Daphnia pulex: one gene and its partner. The protein of the gene in region 2 purifies or fractionates together with the protein of the main gene of each other region. This does not show direct contact. Links are inferred from orthologs where the notes say so. Each region holds a gene or a part of one and is shown on either strand. Other genes may lie near its edges.

Region 1 (4,023 bases), on a different chromosome or scaffold from region 2:
AATTATATCCTCAACCGTTAAAAAATCAGACTAGTAACGATTAGATGACAGAGTTTTTTTTTTTAAATATTTTATATGATTTTTAAAGACCTTTTTACAAATTAAATGGCTGGGTAATAAAGAACTGAACTTGAATAGGGACATACGAGAAACAAAAAGAAACTATGAAACGTTATTATTATTGTTTTGATTAAAAATGAGTTTATTACACGTAGGAATACACAGTAACGCACTAACTATTTTTGTGAAACGACCGAAAGGAAAGGTTTCGAAAGATCGACTTATCAACTACAAGTTAATATTGAATTATAGACGTTAGTTTGCATAAGTTCGGTACTTTCCATTCTGCGTGATCCAACATACAAAATTATATCATGTGAAACATTTAACACAAATTAATTAACAAACAATTATGTAATATGTTTAATTGGACAGTACGTGTTGCACGCTTAATTGTTGTTAAAGTATTTATCCTGCGTTAGTCGTTTTTTAGTTCCTCAAACAGTCACACCTTTTCATTTTGTGTTTTCTCCTTCCTTTTAGTAGAACATATTTCGCGTGTCAGTTATTTTCCTTGAGTTGATATTTGCAAAGAAAATCTTTCTTAAAAATTATTTTTTTTTTGTATAATTTTTATATGGTTAACACTATTATTTCATAAAGACGTAGTTTTGCGCCAAGGAATTACACATCGGGAAATCGAATATTCCAAATCCTTAACGTAACATTTTAATTTTTTCAAAATATTAGGAACATTTGAATAGAGATGTCCTTGATTTATTGGCTGTAATATCTATGTCCACATATTTGAATTCCGTGTTGTATGTTATCACGAAATAAAAGCATCCGAAAAGCAACGGATTATTATCACTCTCCTTTCATTTAAATATTACGAAGAATTGCCGTGCCCGGCCGGTCCCTCTTGGGTTAGTCTAGATTATATCTTTCTAATTAATGAAGGGATAAAAGCCTGGTCCGAGTAGCGAACACAAAAACAAATCGATGTCAAATCAAATCAAACTTGATGACAGTTTGGAGTTTGAACTTGTCATTTTAGCACACCTGACGTCTGCTAGGAACCTGGTCTACACGCTGCATGGCAAGTTCCAGAGATGGCGCTGGCGACTGGCTGGTTTGAAAATTTGAAGGAAGAAATTCAAAGAGACCAGATTTTTCCAAACTAGCCCCTCCCCTTGGATAGACACGTGACCATCCCACGTATATACGTATCATACTGCTGTGCTTTGCTCATGACACCACGGTGGTGCATGGTGGCGCACGACATAACAAAACCATTTAGTTCTTCCGGTTCTTCCTTCATGTGGTTTTGTTACTCATGTAAATTCCTTTCTCAATTTTTTTCGTGAACGAGACCGGAAAGTTGTTTGAAATGGTTATCTTAGATCTTAATAATGAAGTGAGTTTGCTTACAGACAGAATTGTGTCAATAATTAACAGAAATCGTGCGATTAAAGTATTCAATATTCACAAACAAAGTATTTTGATTTTACTTTGTTTTCAATTTTTCAAAATGCATCAAACTGTTTCAGTTTTAACGTTGTGACGCAAGTACCAGTGTCTCGACGGTTGAGATGAAATCGCTTTACAACTTAAGTGACACTAATTATGTTGCTATGTTAAAATTATTAGTTAAATATGACTGACGTAAATTTGCATTTTTGCAGCCTCTTCTTGTTCAAGCAATTTTCAAAGGAGATTTCAACGAAATAAAAAATCTATTGAAGGAAAATGTTGACATCAATTATCAAGATGAAGAAAAACGCAGTCCGTTGCATGCTGCTGCATTCAAAGGTGATGCCAACATCACAGACTTTTTAATACAAAAGGGAGCAAGAATAAATATCAAAGATTCCAAGTGGCTTACACCTTTACATAGAGCTTGCAAATCAGGAAATGAGGTAACAAAATAATGATTTGATGATAAATGTTTATAGTTTTCTCTAGTAGTTACACATATTTGGTTTATTTTGCAGGATGCAGTTAATGTTTTGCTGAAGTATAATGCTGATACCAATGCTCGTGATAAAAACTGGCAGACTCCTTTACATGTGGCCAGCTGTAATAATGCTTACAAATGTGCTGAAGCCCTACTCGCTTCATCTCCTACTGTAAATGTTTCTGACAGAACAGGTCGTACAGCACTGCATCATGCTTCTTTTAATGGGTGAGATTTGTGATCTCTGTGATGTGTTTAGTTTCCCTAACTGATTTTGTTCATTTTTCTAGTCACTGTGATTTGGTAGAACTTTTGATTGAGCATGGAGCCTCGGTGAATGCGTTCGACAAAAGAGATAGACGCGCACTACATTGGGCATCTTACATGGGTCATGAGTCCGTCGTGAAAATCTTACTGCAGAATGGAGCTGAAGTAAATATACGAGATAAAGACTTGTATTCGCCATTGCACGCGGTAATTTCCCAATAACATTTGTCTTACCATGTTTTACCACTAACTCTAAGTTCCGCCAAATAATTATGAGAATTCACGGAAATAACACCCATTAATTTGAATTAGGCTGCTGCTAGTGGACAAGTTTTTGTGGTGCAACAACTCCTAGAAGCGGGGGCCGATTTTAATGCCAGTAATTCATTCGGTAACACTCCGCTTCATACAGCTTGTCTTAACGGACATGAATTGGTCTGTCAGGATCTCATAGCATCAGGAACTTCTGTCAGTGCTGTAAATTTAGCAGGGCAGACTCCAATTCATGTATCTGCTGCTGCGACTCATGTAAGCCGAAAAATCACTTTAGATGAATACAATTTACGTTTGATTTTGAACATTCTTACATAGGGAGAACGTTGCTTGGGCCTTCTCATAGAACGAGATGCGAATATAAATTTTCAAGCTAAAGACGGGTATTAACTTATCACTTTGTTAACAGCATGGAAACATAAATCACAATGTAAAATTCATTTGATTTTAGGCGCACCCCTTTACACATGACCGCAATTCACGGGCGATTTATGAGAGCACAAATGCTTTTGGATCGAGGAGCGCTAGTTGATATCGGAGACAAAGAAGGTTGCACTATCTTTCTTTTTTAACTATTCAATCATCTTAATATTTTTTAGCTTGTCATGAGTTGACACATATTTTTATATATTCATTAATTACTCACTCGACATAGTTTTTAAATGGATATAGACAAGCTACAGCTAGGTATTCTAAGCAATCGGTTTACGCTAATCCATTAGAAATTTGTGCTATAATTCTAGTGATAAAGTAATTTGTTATTTGTTGACTATTTTCTCATTAGATATTAATTCGCTGGTCAAAACCATCGGAATAAAAACACCTCGTATTTATTATGGTTATTTTTGGTTTCCTTTTAAGGTTGCACTGCCCTACACATTGCAGCTGCACACGGGCACGAACTATTGATTGGCGTGCTTCTCAACGTCGGGGCTGATCCTAGCCGAAAAGGTCGTAGTGGCATGACTCCAATGCACTTAGCAGCCCTCAGCGGCTATGTAGAATGTTGTCGAAAGCTCCTTCAAGTCCGTGGTGAATTAGATGCTCAAGATGATTGCGGAAGAACATGCCTTCATCTGTGTGCTTTTAAAGGAAACGCTGAATGCCTTGATTTACTTATCAGTAGTGGAGCTGATTTTAATTTGATCGACTCCTTTGGTCGGATTCCATTGCATTATGCTGCAAGTCAAGCTCATTTCCAATGCGTCTATACTTTAGTCAGTGTGGGGTCCAGTGTAAATTTAACAGATTCAACCGGTGCAACTGCCCTCCATTACGCCGCTGCTATGGACACCGACGGCAAGTGTGTAGAATATTTACTGAAACGCAAAGCAGACGTCTCCGCTTTGGACAAGCAAGGCTATTCGGTACTTCACTACGCTGCGGCAGGTTTGCATTCCCAGAGTTGTTCGGAAAAATAACAAATGATGTTTACTATTTTTTTTTTATTCTACATAGGTGGACAGCATGGAGCCTTACATGTGCTGTTGAAACACTTTGTGATACCCAATAGCAACGGTCACACC
Region 2 (3,330 bases):
CTACGAATTAATAGACATGTCTTTCGGCTGGAACGTACTGCGACATCATCTCAGGCAACTTGGTCAACGGACAGTGCACAGGCAAATCAGTTACAGTGGGCTCTGATGGCAAGGCTTTGATCAGTATCGGCAATGCTGAAGATGATGGAGTACTAGCAATTCATGTTGAGGTAATAAATGGCGAATGAAATTATTATTGCAGTAGACAAGTCTCAACCTTTGTCATTTTTTCTTTTTTTAGTCGAAGTTGTAAACGCTACTCCAAAGGATCCTTAAATATTACATCATGGATAAAATTTAAAAAATTCGAGTGTTCAACTGATTAATGCAAAAAATGTCTAATCCCTACAATTTACAAACTGTGTGAAATAAAAGTTTCAAAAATTGATTTTCAAATATCCTATTTGAATTACTTTGTCTACTACAAAAGAGAGGGGAAAAAAAGCCAGTTGGCAAGGGCTTTAAAAAAATTTATGATTTCCTACATACCAGTCAACAAATTACTTTAACAAAATGATTTATTCTGACTATATAATGAAAAATACAGCAAACTAAATTTTGGGATTGTCAAGAGGAGGTGCAATTCCTTTGATAGGCTGTAATTTTCTTTCTCTAGGTGGTTCTCGTCTGTTCTTCCAAGACTGAATCAGAGTTTGAGGATGATTAGGCAAAAATCCAGAGAGACCAAGGAGCTATAGAATAGTTTAATTAGCATTTAAATTGAAGATCAATATACCTAGCATTTAAAAATTTCACCTGTGCAACAGGATTACTCATCCCCGCTCCTTGAGCAAGCCAGTATTGAACTCTTTCAAAATTAACAGCGACTAGTTTTTCATTTTGGCTGTTGGGCATGGCATCATAACTGCCAACCTGTTCAATTACTGGACCGTCAAAATTGTCCCTCGTCTATAAATTCAAGAGAAACCAAAACGCGACAGTTTAGACGTGCCATCCAATCATTTCTTACATAGTATTTATAGTTTCTTTTTCAAAGTAATGGATATTTTCATATGTGAGATGTAACCTTTTTGTTTTACCTTTTGAACGACGATGTGGTAAAAAGGTCGATTAGTGCATCCATGTTTATTTAAGCGAATAACTTTGCCGATTTTTGTAAATGTGGGAATAGCAGACGCCATGATGAAACTGAAAAATAGGAGCGACAGCTACTGACGAGTTTCGACAGTTCTTAGTGGACGTCAAATGTTTGGCCTAGAAGAAAGTCGACTCGAAATTATAAGAAAAGTTCTCTCCAATTAATTGGTTCTGTCACGAAGAAAAATGGTGGCAGATGTAGACAGATGGATAGATATAGCCCGCGAATGTAAATACCTACCTGAAAATGAAATGAAGGTGAGTTGACAGATAACATGCTGACAGTTTTTAATAGTGCTTCAATTAAGGACGTGAAAACCGTGGTAGAACTTCTGTAATACGCGTCTTTTCTCCTGCCAATCGACACCTTACATAAGAAGTTTTGTCATGGTTTTGTCGTCAGTATTTCAAAACGATTTATATGCAATAAAACTTGTGAAACACTTAAAAATGTGATTTCACTTACATTTGGTTGTTCCTAAGCGAGGACTTTAAGCTGTCAGTATGGTTCATGTCAAGAAATTATTCTTTAATCATTTTTTTCTTCTTATCTTCAGAAACTTTGTGAATTGGTTTGTGACTTGTTGCTGGAAGAATCAAATGTACACTATGTTTCAACTCCAGTTACTGTCTGTGGAGATATTCATGGCCAGGTATTTTTTTTTTTAAATATTTCAATTTATATGGATAAATCCTTTGTAAGTAATTATTTTTGCAGTTTTATGACCTGGAAGAGCTCTTCCGAACTGGTGGACAAGTACCAGACACAAACTATGTTTTCCTTGGAGATTTTGTTGACCGGGGATACTATAGTTTGGAAACCCTCACACGGTTGCTTACATTAAAAGCCAAATACCCGGACAGGATCACACTATTGAGAGGAAACCATGAATCCAGACAAATCACTCAAGTCTATGGCTTTTATGGTACCACAAATTATTTTTGAGACTCATTTCATCTTTAATGATTGCTAACATTTGGCTCTAGATGAATGTCAGAACAAATATGGAAATGCAAATGCATGGAGATATTGTTGCCAGTTATTTGATTTACTCACTGTTGCTGCGGTAAATAGCCCACTTTGGTGCAATCTTTTATTAATATTAATTTGCTTATTTTTCTATTAATTTTTTTTTCTATTGGCTTCTTCATTATAGTTAATTGATGGTGAAGTGTTGTGCGTGCATGGCGGCCTTTCCCCTTCTATTCGGACGCTTGATCAGATCCGCACAATCGAAAGAAATCAGGAGATTCCGCACAAAGGAGCGTTTTGTGACCTAGTGTGGTCTGATCCTGAGGATGTGGAAACTTGGACAATTAGCCCTCGAGGTGCCGGCTGGCTTTTCGGCTCTCGAGTCACCCATGAGTTTATGCATCTCAACGGATTAGAGCTGATCTGTCGTGCTCACCAATTGGTTCACGAAGGCTACAAATTCATGTTCGACGACAAGCTGGTGACTGTTTGGTCAGCGCCAAACTACTGCTACCGCTGTGGTAACGTGGCTGGTATCTTGGCGTTGAACGAAGACAAGTCTCGTAAGCCTAAACTATTCAACGCTGTTCCCGACAGTGAGCGTGTTATCCCACCATACACAACGACGCCCTACTTCCTGTGAGTTTTAAAAACATAGCCCGAAATTTCTCCAACTGCTCTGCATTCTTTGATAATAAATAAACACATGTAAAATCAGTTCAATCCTCCTTAAAGTCAATAAATGCTGTTTTGCTGCTGTCCTATTGTGTCTGGCACATTGAGAGACGACAAAAAAGTTTCCTTTACTTTTCAGTGTCAGTTTTGTACAAAATTCCATTTTTTTCTCGCCAGGCAAAATTGAAAAGTTGAAAAGATTTCCCAACTTAAAATTTACCAAGTCAGTAAAAAGGTTGCTAGATGGCGTTGGAGTAGCTATATTTGTCAATTCAAAAAATGTGATCCGCCCACTCCGGGAATTTATTACTTCATTTTTTGTTTTTTTCCTTACAAAAAGATTGTGATTGTGAGACGACTTTTACCATTGTTTGATAAGAGAGCACTGTTGTTACACATAAAAAAAAAAAAAACTGCTAAACAATCGGACGAATCGAGATCGCCTGGGGCAGTAAATCCTCCTTGAAAGAGATCGCCCCCTCTCCCTCCCATTTTTCACCTTTCTTCTCTCTCATTTTTCACCTCGGCATGGCTGGAGGCTATTTTACTTTAGTCCTCACGAGTCGACGCCAGCAGCTTCTCGC

Evidence for each region. Proteins that work in one complex are often made in the same cells at the same time.
Region 1: the proteins of serine/threonine-protein phosphatase 6 catalytic subunit-like (region 2) and serine/threonine-protein phosphatase 6 regulatory ankyrin repeat subunit A-like purify together in Homo sapiens (affinity purification with mass spectrometry; 9 studies listed by BioGRID and IntAct, with this or other methods). This does not show direct contact. The link is inferred for Daphnia pulex from reciprocal best matches to the Homo sapiens genes PPP6C and ANKRD28.

The regions. Positions count from the first base shown.
Region 1 is NC_060017.1:4,293,210-4,297,232, forward strand, and holds the start of serine/threonine-protein phosphatase 6 regulatory ankyrin repeat subunit A-like, read left to right. Parts: upstream 1-1,223; 5' UTR 1,224-1,390; coding exon 1,391-1,417; intron 1,418-1,595; exon of another isoform or gene 1,596-1,614; intron 1,615-1,685; coding exon 1,686-1,919; intron 1,920-1,994; coding exon 1,995-2,185; intron 2,186-2,247; coding exon 2,248-2,431; intron 2,432-2,536; coding exon 2,537-2,752; intron 2,753-2,815; coding exon 2,816-2,880; intron 2,881-2,948; coding exon 2,949-3,046; intron 3,047-3,358; coding exon 3,359-3,886; intron 3,887-3,955; coding exon 3,956-4,023. UniProt on the Homo sapiens protein: Regulatory subunit of protein phosphatase 6 (PP6) that may be involved in the recognition of phosphoprotein substrates. Involved in the PP6-mediated dephosphorylation of NFKBIE opposing its degradation in response to TNF-alpha.
Region 2 is NC_060019.1:6,997,070-7,000,399, reverse strand, and holds serine/threonine-protein phosphatase 6 catalytic subunit-like, read left to right. Parts: upstream 1-1,212; 5' UTR 1,213-1,284; coding exon 1,285-1,356; intron 1,357-1,655; coding exon 1,656-1,751; intron 1,752-1,816; coding exon 1,817-2,024; intron 2,025-2,085; coding exon 2,086-2,165; intron 2,166-2,255; coding exon 2,256-2,714; 3' UTR 2,715-2,830; downstream 2,831-3,330. Other genes in the region: alpha-amylase 1-like, read left to right, coding at 15-170, 242-253; probable 28S ribosomal protein S16, mitochondrial, read right to left, coding at 552-692, 757-909, 1,041-1,142.